Linked DNA regions of Arabidopsis thaliana. The main gene of each other region encodes a partner of the protein of the gene in region 3 in a complex. Each region holds a gene or a part of one and is shown on either strand. Other genes may lie near its edges. The genes, in order: WIT2, WIT1 and RANGAP1.

Evidence for each region.
Region 1: RANGAP1 (region 3) and WIT2 share a complex: the UniProt entries of both Arabidopsis thaliana proteins name them as parts of the ran complex.
Region 2: RANGAP1 (region 3) and WIT1 share a complex: the UniProt entries of both Arabidopsis thaliana proteins name them as parts of the ran complex.

The regions. Positions count from the first base shown.
Region 1 is NC_003070.9:25,907,500-25,912,953, forward strand, and holds WIT2 (WPP domain-interacting protein 2), read right to left. Parts: upstream 3,610-5,454; 5' UTR 3,544-3,609; intron 3,040-3,543; exon of another isoform or gene 2,994-3,039; 5' UTR 2,987-2,993; coding exon 2,509-2,986; intron 2,421-2,508; coding exon 1,309-2,420; intron 1,217-1,308; coding exon 1,070-1,216; coding exon of another isoform or gene 1,066-1,069; intron 882-1,065; coding exon 735-881; 3' UTR 632-734; downstream 1-631. Other genes in the region: AT1G68907 (Defensin-like (DEFL) family protein), read right to left, coding at 9-241, 335-392. UniProt on the Arabidopsis thaliana protein: Together with WIT1, required for the nuclear envelope docking of RANGAP proteins in root tips. Plays a role in nuclear shape determination.
Region 2 is NC_003076.8:3,631,850-3,637,501, forward strand, and holds WIT1 (WPP domain-interacting protein 1), read left to right. Parts: upstream 1-1,799; 5' UTR 1,800-1,928; intron 1,929-2,109; 5' UTR 2,110-2,121; coding exon 2,122-2,719; intron 2,720-2,820; coding exon 2,821-4,010; intron 4,011-4,110; coding exon 4,111-4,290; intron 4,291-4,425; coding exon 4,426-4,569; 3' UTR 4,570-4,764; coding exon of another isoform or gene 4,765-5,075; 3' UTR 5,076-5,085; downstream 5,086-5,652. Other genes in the region: DXPS3 (1-deoxy-D-xylulose 5-phosphate synthase 3), read left to right, coding at 1-95, 180-436, 526-804, 889-1,173, 1,252-1,401; AT5G11400 (Protein kinase superfamily protein), read right to left, coding at 4,765-5,075, 5,164-5,273, 5,427-5,493, 5,578-5,652. UniProt on the Arabidopsis thaliana protein: Together with WIT2, required for the nuclear envelope docking of RANGAP proteins in root tips.
Region 3 is NC_003074.8:23,322,540-23,327,544, forward strand, and holds RANGAP1 (RAN GTPase activating protein 1), read left to right. Parts: upstream 1-1,939; 5' UTR 1,940-2,293; intron 2,294-2,546; 5' UTR 2,547-2,568; coding exon 2,569-4,176; 3' UTR 4,177-4,374; downstream 4,375-5,005. Other genes in the region: CYCP1;1 (cyclin p1;1), read right to left, coding at 604-868, 954-1,354; CSP41A (chloroplast stem-loop binding protein of 41 kDa), read right to left, coding at 4,467-4,649, 4,728-5,005. UniProt on the Arabidopsis thaliana protein: GTPase activator for the nuclear Ras-related regulatory protein Ran, converting it to the putatively inactive GDP-bound state. Plays a role in spatial signaling during cell division.

The DNA.
Region 1 (5,454 bases), on a different chromosome or scaffold from region 3:
TAATTTCTTTAACAGTACTCACACAAACAGGTTCCAAAATTACAGTCAACAATCTTGCAGCCCTTAGGACAGTACTTGATGCATTCGTTATCTGTGCGGCAAGACTCATTGGTCTCATATATGTCCATTGTTGGTGCTATAAGAGGCAAGCAGTTACAGTCCTTCTTTCCATCAGGACAATGGCCGCCTATGCAATTCACTTCTTCTTTCGCCATCTCTCTCGCGGCACTCAAAGACAAACCTTCACAAGTACACACCATAATAAAACTTCAAAACAAAAACCAAAGCAAAACATTTTATAACAAAGAAGAAGTTTTTATAGAGGAAGCATTACACAATGCTATGACTGTGAGGGAGAACAAGAAGACAAGCTTGAGAGACGTTTTCTCCATTACTAATTGTAACCTCAAAATCTTTTCTTGTTTCTTTTTTTTTTGTAAAAGTGATGAACAGAGAATTCAGATTGTTCTCTTATAGAGAAAGAAGTTAAATGGCAACAAATCTTTTGTGTGAAGGTTTTACCAAATTTAGTCTGATTCTTTTTTAGTCCAACTGGTGAGATCACTCCATCTTAGGAAATCACTTAATAATTGAAATGTGTTGTTTTTGTAGAGGAGATAAACCAACACTTGAGATACATTGCTTGTAATAAATACAAGATAAATGAGTATTTACAACACAATGTACAAATGGCGAATGCTATGGCCAAGACATTTTCACTAAGATATATTTCCTTAATAAGTCACACCAAAGAATGAACAAAACAGCACAAAAACTAAGGCCACAACTAGTATGTGTTTCAATTTGATTGCTCTTCTGATCTCGCTACTCTTTTCAGACACAGACTGCTTCTCTGGTTCTTCCCTTGTTCTCTCATCCTCCTGTTCAAAGAAAGCAAAGACCCACATAAGATTAGTAACCAAGAGATGTCTGGTTTTCACATCCATGACCCAACAATGATCTATATTTGCCCCATCGACCATTCTGAAGCATCAAAGCTATACACTAATACACAAGAAAGTACAAGGAATTTCGTGTTTTTCTTGTGGAAAATAAACTGAATACCTGCCTGCAGACTTTCAGCAAGTGCCTCTATTTCGTGACCATCTGCGTGAAACGACAGCTCTTTGTCCCCAGCATAAGATCCATTTCTTTGGTATGTATTTGAGCACTGATTCACTCTAAGTATTTTGTTTTCTTTTGCCAAAGAATATAGCTGGAGAAAGAAAAAACATTAATGTGTCAACAATGCTATGCTCTTGTGTCCCTGGCCTAAAGAAAACAATAATGCACTTAGCCAAAAAGTACCTGCTCTTGTATACGCTCCCTTTCACTGGATAATTGCAACATCATATCCATCAAAACTTTGTTCCTTGTAGTTATTTCTTGTGCATATCTCTCTTTCTCATTGTTAGCTAGATCCAACATTGCTTCTAAGGATTTGGCTTTTTGCCTCAAAAAGCTCACGTCTTTGTTGAGTTCAGAGTTTGTGGTAGAAAGCACAATGCATTGCTCCTCCACTGTCTCCGTTCTACTCTCGGCTTTTGAGGCTTTAGACTTGAGATCTTCTATTAAGGTCTCCATGTCCCATATTGCTGAATACAACATGTTCTGCTGTTCTTGATTTGCTTCTGATGATACCTTGGAGTTTTGTACTTGAACTTCTAATTCCCTGACTTGCTTCTCGAGAGAGTTCACCTTCTTCGTCTTTTTATCATCCGCATCTTTGAGAAAATTTAGTTCCTCAGTAAGTTCAAGATTTGCAGCATCTAGCTCTTTAATCTTAGCTTCTCCACTCTCAGCTCTGCTTTCAGCCTCGAAAAGGTTTTCTTTGACCGACTCATTTGCATTTTCCATTTCAGCTAGATGTACCAGGATTTCTTGTTTGGAGGCGTTGACACTTTTCAGCTCAAGGTCGGTATTTTTCAGCTTTTGTTCAGCTGACTTCACATATTCCCTCAAAGTGAGTACTTCTGAAACTATTTCACTATTTTCTGAAATTGTTCCCTCAAGCTTTTGCACCAGAAGATCTTTCGCTTCCAGTTGTACAGTGCAATCTTCAAGCTTAGACTTAAGTTCGGATTCCCGTTGTGCTGACCCATTCAGACTAAACTGGAGAATCTGTAGACGACCAACAAGTTCCTTTGAAATACCTGTAAGAACCTCAGAAGAATTATCTGCCTCTAGAAACCGTCCCCATATAAACTCTGATGCTTCTTCCATCCGAGAAGATACCTCCTCTGTGTAGTGTAGCTTGAGTTTCAACTGTTCCTCATTTTGCTGGAATTCCATTAACTTCTTCTCAAGCTCTAGCTCTCTTGACAATGACTTCTCCAGCATCCTCAGAGCATTTTTATGCCTCAAGTCCGATGGTTTCAGCGCATATTTCTGCCTTAACTCCACTGACTCCTCGTTTTCACCTGCCAACATTTTTGTCAATAACAACAAGAAGCTAAGAAAACCAAAGCAGCAATAACTTTAAAACAACCATATATCAAAAGTGATTACTTGTTCCATTTCTTATGTAATGAAGTGTTCTTCGGAGCTGAGCTAATTGCAAAGTGATCTCTGAGACTTGTCCTCTAGACTGCTTCAATGATTCTGCAGATTCACCCAACTTTCCTTCAATAACAATATAATTTCCGTGTTTGCAAGAAGATATCTTGTAAGAAGTGTCAACTATTTGAGCTTCCAACACATCCAAAACCTCGTCCACCTCCTTCACTTCTGACTCCAATATACCGCATAACAGATCAAACGTCAAAGCTTTTTCAAAGGATGCTGGAGAAGAATCAAGTGTCCCCATCCCTTCAAGATCATTATCCCATGCCAAAAGATGCATAAGAAGAACATGCAGATTCATCAACTTTTCACTAGTATAAGCTGAGTCTATCTCTAGTTTTGTCAACATCCTCAACATCTCTTGCTCTTCCTCATTCCTACTAGACAAAGCTTCAAAATAGTCCTCCCTAATGATTTCCTCCATTCTTGGCCTAAAAATCAAAAGTTCAAAGCTTAGCTAGGAACAAGAAAAAAAAACTAATCCAAAAAAATGGATACTTAGGTGAAATGACACTATCTTTCTAATGCGAGGTATCGCAGTTCCAATCCTAGCACTAGTCATAGCTCAATTCTTCTATATGAAACCAATCATTCATCAACTGAAACCAGAACATCCAAGCAAATAATTGAAAATGTAATCCAAGTACCCAAAAACACATTATAGTAAGTGCAACTAAATCAAATCCTTACTTTGAACAAAACCTAAGCAAAGAGAAGTGAAATTTGAGAAGAATCCACTTGTCAAGAAAGAGACCAATAAGCCAAGTCAGTTAATGTTACATACTTGTAAAGACTCAGCATTTTCAAAGAGATCCACCAGAAATTCTTACTAATTTAACAATTTACTACAACGAGATTCAAACTTTACCATAAAACCAGAACAAAAATATCAAAATTCAACAAGAACAAAACTAAAACTTGGAAACAGACAAAACAGAGTGTTGAAGATTCAAAGAGGATCTGAAAAGATCAAAACTTTACCGATGAAAATCTGTAGTTCGAGTAGATGAAAAAACAGAGAGAGCTTTTACTCCGTCAACGAACTCCAATTTTGCCTTTCAAGAATGGTACGGTGTTTTCTGGCGTCAGAAAAATTGATGCTAAAATGCGCGGAATTTGTTTACAAGTCATCCAACGATAAAGAAAGAGCCGCGCATGCTAGCGTTTTCGCTTACGTTAGCGTGAGTGTTATGTTGTGGTGGACGTTGAATTATTGGTAAGGAAGAAGAACGACTGCTTAAGCTGCTCTTATTGGTTACAGCTAAAAAGGCCTAAATATAACTGTAATATAGTTAGCAATTAATGTAATATTTCAAAAGTTTTTTTTTCAAAAATTCTGATTTAGAATTATATTTCGTCTGTAACGTCTAGATAATAACATGATACACTCACATTTAAGATTATAATTTTATTCAAAAATTCAAAAAATTTAATGTATCTTTTTTTTGTTAGTGGACAATTTAATTCCCAAAGTTAATGCAATTTATTATAGAATAGCATGTGTGTAATGATAATATTATTGAATTTATGACATGTATCCACTCTAATTCAATTTCGTGACCGTGAGTGACTAAACATGAGAGAGATAAATTGTTTCACTGTCAACATATGTTTGAGACTTGACACCAACGTAATTGTGGATATGTAGAGGAGATGTTAAATTGATAGTCTACATGATGTGATTACTTTGTTTATGATGGTTTAGTTATATGGTGGTGAAAATGTGAATGATCTGTTTTTGAAAGCAGTTATAATGGTGAAGTGTTAAGTATATGACAGAAAGATCACTAGGATGAGACGAGGGTGATTGTGATTGGGCTCTTAAGTGGCCGTGACTACGTATAGAGCAACTTGGTGTGATATCATGTACTGAAATACATAGATCATAAGATTGTTTGTTTAGTATATATATGGACATTTAGTTACGTTGTTCATGCCTTGTTATATAGTGCATGCTAAGACATTCGAGGTAAGGAATCTATGCATGCGAGATTAGATGATTATTATTAAGACATGTCAAGGTAATTATTGCTAAAATAAATTTCTTTATTCCCTAGTTGTCGTTGATAACTTGACCATTTTAGAGCATAGTTAAACTAAAATTTAGTTCCTTTTTTTTTTATGGTTCCAAGCGTTATACAATTTGATAATATTACTGATAATATATTTTATATCAGGTTTGTCATATATAGTGTTTGAATTAGACATTCTTTATATGTAAGATATACTACTAGTGAATTACTTAAAAAACTGATACTATTTTCTTGTCGTCAAACATAGATTTTAATACTATATATATGCCTAAAAGTCCAAAATAGTTTTTCATTATGAAATGGAAAGAGTATAACACATGTGGTGATAATGGGTGGTATAGTTAGTAAAAACTAATTACGAGCTCTCTTGTATGGCTCTTATGTGTAAAAAAATGACTAGTTACATAGTGGAGATAAACAATATTGACGTTTAATTATGCAGCAAGAGATTAAACTATGATATAGAAAGTTAAACTATGGTTAATAATTAGGGAATTAAAAAATAGAAAAAGAGAAGATAAAGTGAAGGTGTGGGCTGGAGAATTCAATTATTATAAGGTTTAATTTCTTAGGTCTTTGGAAATTGCAAGTCCCAAGGCCAACTAATAATGACCTCGATCTTTGCGTTAACCGGACCGTCCATCTACTCTTCCTTTATTTTATTTTAATCATTTTTCCACTAGTTAATACGTTTACACTTGTTCATGACCCGTATTAAAGAAAAGAATTTGTGTTAGGAGAAAACTAAACAATTAGCGTCAATAATCATTTACCTAGTTAATAAAATACACCGAGTTGTTAATTTTTATTAACTAAAATCAAGTAACTTTGACATCGATCGGTAATTTATTTCATATTT
Region 2 (5,652 bases), on a different chromosome or scaffold from region 3:
AGTATCTTCTCTAGATTCAATGGGTCCTGTGTTGGTCCACGTGATCACAGAGGGAAACCGAGATGCAGAAACCGTAAAGAACATCATGGTCAAAGGTATATCTGTCTGGTTATGTTATTTTTTCTGAGAATATATGCTTATCCAAAATCTTGACTTTGTAGTTTTTTTTTTTGTCTCAGACAGACGCACTTACAGTGATTGCTTTGTTGAGGCTTTGGTGATGGAGGCAGAAAAGGATAGAGATATTGTTGTAGTTCATGCAGGAATGGAGATGGATCCGTCACTTCTTACATTTCAGGAGAGATTTCCAGACAGATTTTTCAATGTCGGAATGGCTGAACAGCATGCTGTCACATTCTCTGCTGGTCTTTCTTCTGGAGGTCTCAAGCCATTTTGTATTATTCCCTCTGCTTTTTTACAAAGAGCTTATGACCAGGTTTCACTTTCCTCTAGCACAAAATAAAATTGTTCTAAAAGGTTTTTATTACAAGCAAATGGCCTTAGTGTCTTTGATGGTTTCTTTAGGTGGTCCATGATGTAGATCGGCAGAGAAAGGCGGTGCGATTTGTTATTACAAGCGCAGGGCTTGTTGGATCCGATGGTCCAGTGCAGTGTGGAGCTTTTGACATAGCTTTCATGTCATCCTTACCAAACATGATAGCCATGGCTCCAGCCGATGAGGATGAGCTTGTAAATATGGTTGCAACTGCTGCTTATGTCACTGACCGCCCAGTATGTTTCCGGTTCCCTAGAGGCTCCATCGTCAACATGAATTATCTTGTCCCCACTGGATTACCAATTGAAGTAAGTTCCAATCTAATCTTCAAATCTTTTGGTTGCAAAAACAGACCGTGGTGACACAAGAACTGCTTTATCATATTAGAGTAGATCGGAAGAGGAAGAGTTCTCGTAGAAGGTCAAGATGTGGCTTTACTTGGTTATGGAGCGATGGTTCAGAATTGTCTTCATGCTCACTCGCTTCTCTCGAAACTCGGTTTGAACGTGACTGTAGCTGATGCAAGATTTTGCAAACCCCTAGACATCAAGCTTGTGCGTGATCTTTGTCAGAACCACAAATTCCTTATCACTGTCGAAGAAGGCTGTGTTGGAGGGTTTGGTTCTCATGTGGCGCAGTTCATAGCCCTCGATGGCCAGCTCGATGGGAATATCAAGGTAGAGAGACAAATCAAAACCTCATGTTCTCACCTGTTTTTGGTTTTAAGTTGTAATTTTGCTCTTAACATTGTGTAGTGGAGACCCATTGTGTTACCGGATGGCTACATAGAAGAAGCATCGCCTAGGGAGCAGCTTGCTCTTGCAGGGCTAACTGGACATCACATAGCAGCAACCGCTTTGAGTCTTTTGGGCCGAACTCGTGAAGCATTGCTTCTCATGAGCTAGCTTAACCTTCTCATATGGGATTTACCTTCACAAGAGACTTAAAGAGGAGTTTCTTAAACAGAATTTGTAGATAATACATTCTGAATTCAAGAGCCCATTTGATATCCTGATTTTGGAATAGCAATCTGCTATGTATTGTAAATGTAGAGTTGAGAATTGACTAAAATAAATTCAATTACTTTTTAGGCGGTATCTCAGTTTTCATATTCTCAGTTAGTTGTTGTTGTTGTTGTTGTTGTTGTTGTTGTTGTTGTTGTTGTTGTCAAGTCTATTTGGTGTAACAGTCGCATGTCCCAAATCTGGAAACAAACAAAATATAGAACAGAGACGTGTATTTTCGATACTCGAGTTTTTTTTTAATAAAAGCATCTTAAAAAATTAGTAAAGAGTTACTGTCAAACAATATTCGTTTAATTACAAATCCGAGTCCTTCTTCTTCTTCTTCTTCTCGATCTCTGTATCTCTCGATCATTTCCTTCTAAAGGAAGCGTCTTTGATCTTAATCGTCGTGTCGTTCGTTTCTAACTGTAAGTTTTCTCCTTTTCATTCATTTTGCTTCAATCTCGATCGGAATCAAGTAAAAAATCGGAACTTTTACCTAGATTTCCTCAGGAATCGAAAAGTTCTTGTGATTTAGCAGAACCTCTATTGTTTCCGATCTCTTAATTCAATTACTTGACAAAAGTGATTATACTTTCTCTGTTGCAGTTATATTGAAAGATGGAAACAGAAACGGAACATGATAGAACTGTCTCTGTCGATGACAACGACAGCCTTGTACCTGAGCCAAGCTCAACGAAAGAAAGCTTTTTTGAAGATCTCTCGCTTACTGGGCAAGTTATGAATCCTCAACTTTCAAGTGCAGGCGAAGTTTTGACAAAAGTTGAATTGGATTTTGCTTTTGTCTCTGAGAAATTGGTCAATCTTAGTCTTCTTACTATGCAACTCGGCACGAGGGAAAATGATTTTGAGTCTTTTGTTTCTAAGAAAGAAGAAGATGAAGAAGAGCCTTCGAGTAATGTTGATGATGATGATGATTCTGCTGAGAAGGCATTGGAGTTTGATCTCTTGTCTTCAATTCTCAATTCAGAGGTGAAAGAACTTGAATCGCTTCTTGGTTTTCTCCAGAACGAGATTCAAAGCGCCCGTGTCATGATATCTCCGTTTCAACATGATGGAGAAGCTTTCTTGGATTTGGAAGGGAAGTTGAATGATACTGAACAATCTTTGGGTCAGTTAATGGAACAAGTAGTGGAAATGAAGAAGCAATCTTCTAACTTTCAGAGGTTATCTTCTGGTTTGGATGAACAAGGAAGCTGTAAGTGACCAATCTAGCTTTCTTTTTAACCTTGTTGTGATGATCACTTGGTGAGAAAAATTTCAGGCTTTAATGAATACTATATAACTTTGTTTTTGCAGGGTCTGGAGGGCAAACTTCAGTGTCTCAAAACGATGGTGAGTTTGGTGATCTGAGCGCTAAGATCAATATGCAGACTGCTGATCAGCAAAGGAATGTTTTAAGGATGCTTGAGAAATCTTTGGCTAAGGAGATGGAACTTGAGAAGAAACTAAGTGAATCAAGAAATACTGAACGAGAACTAGAGATGAAACTGTATTCTTCTGAGCAGGATGTTGTCTACATGGAAGAAGTAACCGAAGATGCGTTCTCCAGGTGGCTTGAGGCAGATAATGCTGCTGAAGTCTTTAAGGGAACGTCAAAGGAGATGTCTGGAAAACTCCAGATTCTTCAGTTCAATCTAAGTGGCTCTTTTAAGCGGGAAGACAACTTGAAGTCTAAGCTTGTTGATTCAAAGGAACGTTTAGAAGCTAAGGAATGCGCCTTGCACAAGCTTGATAGCAGCAATGCAAGACTTGCTGACTTTCTTGTGGCACAAACAGAAGGCTTAAAAGAGAGTTTGCAAGAGGCTGAAGAAAAATTGATTTTGTTGAACACTGAGAATTCCACATTAAGTGAGAAAGTTAGCTCCCTTGAAGAACAACTGAATGAATATGGGATTCAAACAGAAGATGCGGATGCTACTTCTGGTGCTCTGATAACAGATCTTGAACGTATCAACGAGGAACTGAAAGATAAATTAGCCAAAACTGAAGCAAGGGCTGAGGAAACAGAATCCAAGTGCAAAATCCTAGAAGAAAGCAAAAAGGAGCTTCAAGACGAGTTGGGGAATTTCAGAGACAAGGGCTTCACTATACATAAGTTAGCATCGCTTGAGAAACACTTGAGGGACTCAGATCTACAACTAGAACATGCAGTTGCAGCTGTTGAAGCAAGTAAAGAAAAGCAGAACTTGTTATATTCTACTGTTTCTGATATGGAGGATGTGATCGAGGATCTAAAATCAAAAGTTTTGAAGGCTGAAAACAGGGCCGACATTACCGAAGAGAAGTTGATCATGGTATCTGAGTCTAACGCAGAGGTCAACGAAGAACTGAAATTCTTTAAGGGTAGATTGAAAGAAGGGGAGAAATATTTACAGCAAGCAGAAGAAAGAAAATTGCGAACCGCCAAAGATATCGGGGTACATAACAAGATCATGAAAAAACTGGTCATGCAACTAGCTGCTGAACGAGAACGACTTCATAAACAGGTATTACCATATTCGTAAAACCCCAGTTCGCTGTTAGTTCATGTCCTTGTAGCTTCATCATCATCACAGTGGATTCTTAGATATAGTGACTTATTTGCAGATAACTAACCTGTCAAGAGAGAATTGTGTGTTGATGGTGAAGTTGAAAAAGGTTGGAAAAACTGGTTATATGGAAAGTGGCAATGGAAGTGAAGTTTCACCAAAGTCGGACCAGAATGCTTCTTCTTGCCATCAAGGAAGTAGACTTCAAGCCACCTTCATTTCATTAACTAATCCAGAGGTAACATAATTCTACCTTACAAAAAATCTGATCTTTTGCTGGCATCTAAGTGAGTTATACCATTAAGCTTTAGTCCAACAATCGAATATTATGAATCTAAGCTTGACGTTAGTAACCGTGGTCACCTTTTTGTAGGAGGAAGAAACAGGTTCAAAATCAGATATTGGAAGTGTAAGGAGATTAGATGTTGGAGCTCTTAGGTTCAAACACATTCTCGTTGCAATACTCGTGATCTTAATATCGTCGATAGCTTATGTTATATCCCAGCAAAACATGTAAGAGTCTTTAACTTTTTCCAAAATCTCAGTCTCCAGTTTTGTACTCTCTTTGTCATAGTTTACAATGACAGATTATATTTTAGTTCTTTTTGGCTACCCAGTTACAGAAAATCTGCTATATAATTAACCCCGACACTGGTATTTTGTGTTATTACAATATCTTTTTCAGTGTCAAGTATTAGTACCTCTCTACACATTAGTCCTTAATCTCTGCAATATGATTAAGACCATCCAATACTTGTTGCATCAATGGCCGTTTCTTTGTATTATGCGCTGTGCATCGGTTGATGAGTGTGCCCATCTGTGTCGCCGCATTCGCAGAATAATCGCTCCCAAGTCGGGGATCGATTATTTCCTCAATCTTATAATTATCTGGCAAGAAAGATGAGGTCCAGTAATCTACTAAGCCTTGCTCTTCCTTAATCTTTTTTCTATCCTTGGAACCCATTAAAAGTTCAAGCAAGATCATACCAAAAATGTAAACATCGGTCGTCATATCCAAAATACCTAACACATACATTACACAATTGTCTTAACGTTGAACAACGAAAGATTTTTCAGAATTTGTAAAACGAAAGTTAATGCTTTCGTGTACCTAACGATCCCCATTCAGGAGATAGGTATGTAAATCTTCCCCTCTTGAGACCTTCATCTACCAAGCTTCGTTTGGTTGGTTCGAGATAGAACAGTTTTTGCATTGTATTGCTGATGAAATCCAAACTTAGATATTAATTTCTAAGATCATAAACAAAAAGAGAGAAGAAGGATGGAAATAAAACAATTACCACCTCGTCAAGCATAATGTTATGCATCCTGAGTTCTCGGTTTAGGGGGCTGTTCTTGATCGAGTGAAGAAACGCGAGACCTTGAGCTGTTCCAATGGCTATCTTAACCCGTATTTCCCATGGCAATGCCTCTTCTTCTTCTGTTGAGGGAAACGTAAAACTATAGGTAATGCAATAGTTGTCTATATCTTAGAATGGACCCATTAGCTAGAAAAGATCTTAACTTCCGAAAATGTGACTGTCCAAACTTCCTTTGTGCGAGTATTCAAATACCAAGAAGAATGGTTTGTTGTCTTCAC
Region 3 (5,005 bases):
CTGATGACATTTCTATGGCAACTCCGCTCGCCATGCCATCAACTTGCCGACGTCAGGTCCATGTCAGCACCTTTGACCAGACCGTACACCTACAGGACTTGCTTGACAAAAACGCTAGTGGGATCAAACACATGAAAGATTACCGACAAGAGGGTCATCAGTATAACGTTTAAGGAGTCACATGATGATCCCAGGGGCTACCACTCACGGGACTCACTATCTCCAATCGCACCACCGTCCTCTGACCCTAAGAATAGCAATGGCGGTGGTGGTTCAGGTGCTTGTGGTAATGTTGAGGCTCCTGCTACTGCTGCTTAACCACCGCCCAAGATTAACGATACTCCTTGTAATGGCAAAGCAGCAGAGCCTCCTGTCGCTAATGTGAAATGCAGCAGCAGATGGAATAGTTGCGGTTTGATGTAAAGTAGAGATCTATTTAGTAGTTTAACCAGTATCAAGGAAACTATATTATAGCAACTTCTTAAAGAATGAGTTGGTAGAAATTTTCAGATTTTCTACTACACACAATTGTCACAAACAATCAATCATGCAAAAGAATCATCACTACTAAAACACAAAATAATCCTATCTTACCCTTGCCGATCAGCGTGCTGTGGTTTGAGAGCAGAGTGAGTCGGGTGTCCTCTTCTGCCAAGTCTCTTTGTTGGCTCGGCATGCTTCTTTTATGGGCCACTCGATCTGGAAGCCGTCTCTGTTCTGCTTTTCTAACTGACAACAGTGTGTGTGAAACGTCTGAGGATCTACCTGAAGCTTGAAGTCAAGGGTAAACAACAACTCCATCTCCAATCTGTTTAACTCTCTCGTAGTCACACCTCCCACTCTTGCGTAGTATGCATTGTTGAAATACCTGCACAACACCAGAGATCAATGAATCTATGATTGAAGACTTATTTGCGTGTTGAATTTGATACCAGGTTTAGTGAGTAACATACCTATCATCGAAGACTTTAGCAGCTAACATGACAGTTGTAATGATAAGGCGGTGGACATTAAGGGGTTTGAGAAGGGCTCGGGTCTTATGGAGAAAGTGATCAATGTAGATATGCGCAATGACGAAGCAGGAGGGACTGCAGCAAGAGTACTTGAAAATGCGATCCAAGTAGTGTGCAATACTGATCTCAGGGGGAGATCTCCCGTCAAACACGGTAACAGAGTCTGGCGATCCAAGCAGAATCTTGTCATCATGATTGAGTAACAGAGATCTCTCCAGAGAAGAAGAGAGGCGTGAGAGAACAGTCGGTGGCTTTTTCAATCGTTTGCCCTCAATAATAAGTCCTAACCTGAGGTATACATCCGAATCAATGAAAGCTGGATCGGTTGCGAGAGAGTCCATTTCTCCAACGAATCTGCAATGAAGATGATGATGTGCATAAAAATGGTAACTTTGAATAGGGTTTTGAAATAGAAGACGTATGTAGAGTAAATTTCAAGCAGGTGAACTAATTCCTAATCAAGAACCTAAACCCTCTCTATATGTCTCCCTACCTACCAAGTACCAAGAATCTTGAGAGTCAAGAATTAGGAATAAAGTGGAAGAAGCTTACGAGAATAAAGTGGAAGAAGTTGGTTCGTGAACTAGAGAAGGTCCGGAGAATGGAAGAAAGCAGATCTATCTCCGGCGCTTCTCCATTGTTTTTTTTTTGCTGCTCTGAAGCTTAGAAGCTAAAAGAAGCCGCGAAGAATTGTGAAGAAGAAGGAAAGTTTCCATTATTGCCTTTTATTTTATTTTATTTAATAATTTAAGGGTTTTTGATTTTAAAATGAATAATAATAATAAATACAAAAAAGAAAGGACAGAAGGAAGGAGTGATGTGTGGTAGAGAGAGACAGTTCACCGTCGGCGAGTCCAGCTGGCGGTGGTGGGAGCCCACCGTGTCACCTTAATCATCGCTGCGCTGCCCTGTCTTTTTTCCATTATTAATTTTTAGCAAGAAGAAGACTGGGCTTTCTAAATTAGTTATTAATGGGCTTTGGGCTTTCGTGGTTAGGGTTGTGTAGGGGCTTAATCGTCATTTCGGAGATAGAATAAACCCTAATCTCCATGGATGGGCTCTCCGATGTTTGTCTTTTTGATTTTTGAAATTTGATTTTCAAAAATAAACTAAAGCATCATTGCCTCCCATTATCGTCACGCACGCAGATCAATGATTCTCTCACTCTGCTTCTCATTCACGCTTCTTCTTTGAATTCACTTTTCTATTCCTTTCTTTTTCTCCGTCCGAGAGAGTATAGAGAGACCCATTTCTTCGATCCATCCGCTGAGAAAAAAAAGGTACCGTCGTATTGTTCTCTCATGTTTCTGGGTTTCTTTTTGTTTCGAAATATATTCTTCTCGTTTGCAGTGTGATTTTGAGGGTTTCCTTGTCTAAAAAATGCAGTTTTTAATTAATGGATTTACAATAGAAATGTAGTTAGATTCTTCGACACCATCTTCGTTTTCGATTGGATCTACATGTTATGCTCTCTCTTTTTCCTTGGAATACTATGTCAGATTGAGTAATGGTTGTCCTTGTATTGAATTACAGAAGAAAACCAAGCAGTAGTAGAATGGATCATTCAGCGAAAACCACACAGAACCGTGTTTTGTCAGTGAAGATGTGGCCACCGAGTAAGAGTACCCGTCTCATGCTTGTTGAGCGGATGACCAAGAACATTACCACCCCTTCCATCTTCTCCAGGAAGTACGGTCTTTTGTCTGTTGAAGAGGCTGAGCAAGACGCCAAGCGCATTGAAGATTTGGCCTTTGCTACTGCCAACAAACACTTCCAGAACGAGCCTGATGGTGATGGCACTTCTGCTGTTCACGTCTATGCTAAAGAATCCAGCAAGCTCATGCTTGATGTCATCAAACGTGGTCCACAGGAAGAATCCGAGGTTGAGGTGAGCAAGGATGGTGATGTCTTTTTTGATATATCTGGTGGGAGCAGAGCTTTTATTGAAGAAGAGGAGGCACGCGACCTTTTGAGGCCTCTGGCTGACCCGCGTAACTCCTATACCAAAATCCGTTTTAGCAACAGGAGTTTTGGGTCTGAAGCAGCCAAATTTGCTGCGAGCGTTTTGTCTTCCATCAAGGATCAGCTGACGGAAGTGGATCTCTCGGATTTTGTTGCAGGAAGACCAGAGGCTGAAGCGCTTGAAGTCATGAATATGTTTTCATCTGCTTTAGAGGGTTCTAAGCTTAGGTATCTGAATCTCTCGGACAATGCTTTGGGAGAAAAGGGAATTAGGGCATTTGCTTCTCTCATCAATTCTCAGCATGACTTGGAGGAGCTCTATCTGATGAATGATGGCATTTCCGAGGATGCTGCACGTGCAGTTCGTGAGCTTCTCCCTTCTACTGACAAAATCAGGGTTCTTCAGTTTCATAACAACATGACAGGAGATGAAGGAGCAACTGCCATTGCAGAGATTGTCAGGGAGTGTCCATCTTTGGAAGATTTCCGGTGTTCATCTACAAGGATTGGTTCAGAAGGTGGTGTTGCACTAGCTGAAGCACTTGAACACTGTAGCCACTTGAAGAAACTTGATCTTCGTGACAACATGTTTGGAGTCGAAGGTGGAATTGCCCTGGCCAAGACTTTATCAGTCTTGACTCATTTAACCGAGATCTATATGAGTTACCTGAACTTGGAGGATGAGGGAACAGAGGCACTTTCTGAAGCTCTACTTAAGTCCGCCCCTTCTCTTGAAGTTCTAGAATTGGCTGGTAACGACATTACTGTAAAATCCACTGGAAATTTGGCAGCTTGCATCGCCTCCAAACAGTCTCTTGCAAAGCTGAATTTATCTGAGAATGAACTCAAAGACGAAGGGACTATCTTAATTGCAAAGGCAGTTGAAGGTCATGATCAGTTAGTTGAAGTTGACCTGAGCACCAACATGATCAGAAGAGCTGGGGCAAGGGCCTTGGCACAAACTGTTGTGAAGAAAAATACTTTCAAGCTTCTGAACATCAATGGAAACTTCATATCTGAGGAAGGTATTGACGAGGTAAATGACATGTTTAAGGACTGTCTGGACAAGCTTGTTCCTTTGGACGACAATGACCCTGAAGGAGAAGATTTTGAAGATGAAGACGAAGAGGAGGAAGGCGAAGATGGCAATGAATTGGAATCAAAGCTTGGAAGTCTGAAAATCAAGCAAGGGGAGGAATGATGTGATGCTTTTGTTGCTATGTAGGTAGGTTCAGTGTTATCTCTCTTTCTGGATTCGGTAAACATAGTTAAGTAGGTATCTAAGGATCTAAGATTGTCTTCAGATTTATTTCCTTGAAGCGAAATTGTTATCTTCGTGTAAACCAGAATTGTTGTTGGTCTTTTGGTTATGAATATTTAAATGATCTTTTAGCTGAAATCATGTTCATCTCATATGAGCCGTGGGAAATGAAAGAGCACAGTGTAGCATAAGAAGTTACAAATGAAGAACAAACTTTATGGCGTATTTGATCAAGCGGCCACTGGAGTTTTGAGGGCTTCGAGTATCTTATCGTCTAACTCAAACTTAATCTCTTTCTTGTCTCTGCCAATCTTCACATACTCTTCGAATCTCTCCTTGAGATCTTCAGGCAGATTCGTTTTACTCTCCCACCCTAATAAGTCCTTAGCGGCTCTTGGCTCTGCGTAGAAATGCTGCGACCATACAAAGACAAGTTTGTAAAGCTACTAATGAATGAAGTAGGAGAAGAGCTTCTACAGGGTTTCGTTTACCATGTTTCTGAATAGAAAAGCCTTCTTGGCGTCAACCCCAATGGCTTTAGGGTCATAATGAACGATCTCAACAGTTTTGCCAGCAGCGGCAGCACAGAGCTTGGCCATACCGTCAAGAGTAACGGCTCTGTCGCTAACGCAGTTGAAGATGTTGCCGGAAGCAGCCTCTGGGTTGGCAACGGCAGAAGTAAGCATGGAAGACAAGTCCCTCACGTGGGATATGTTGGTTAGCTGCAATCCTGATCCTGGGATTGGCACTGCTCTGTCCCTCACAATCC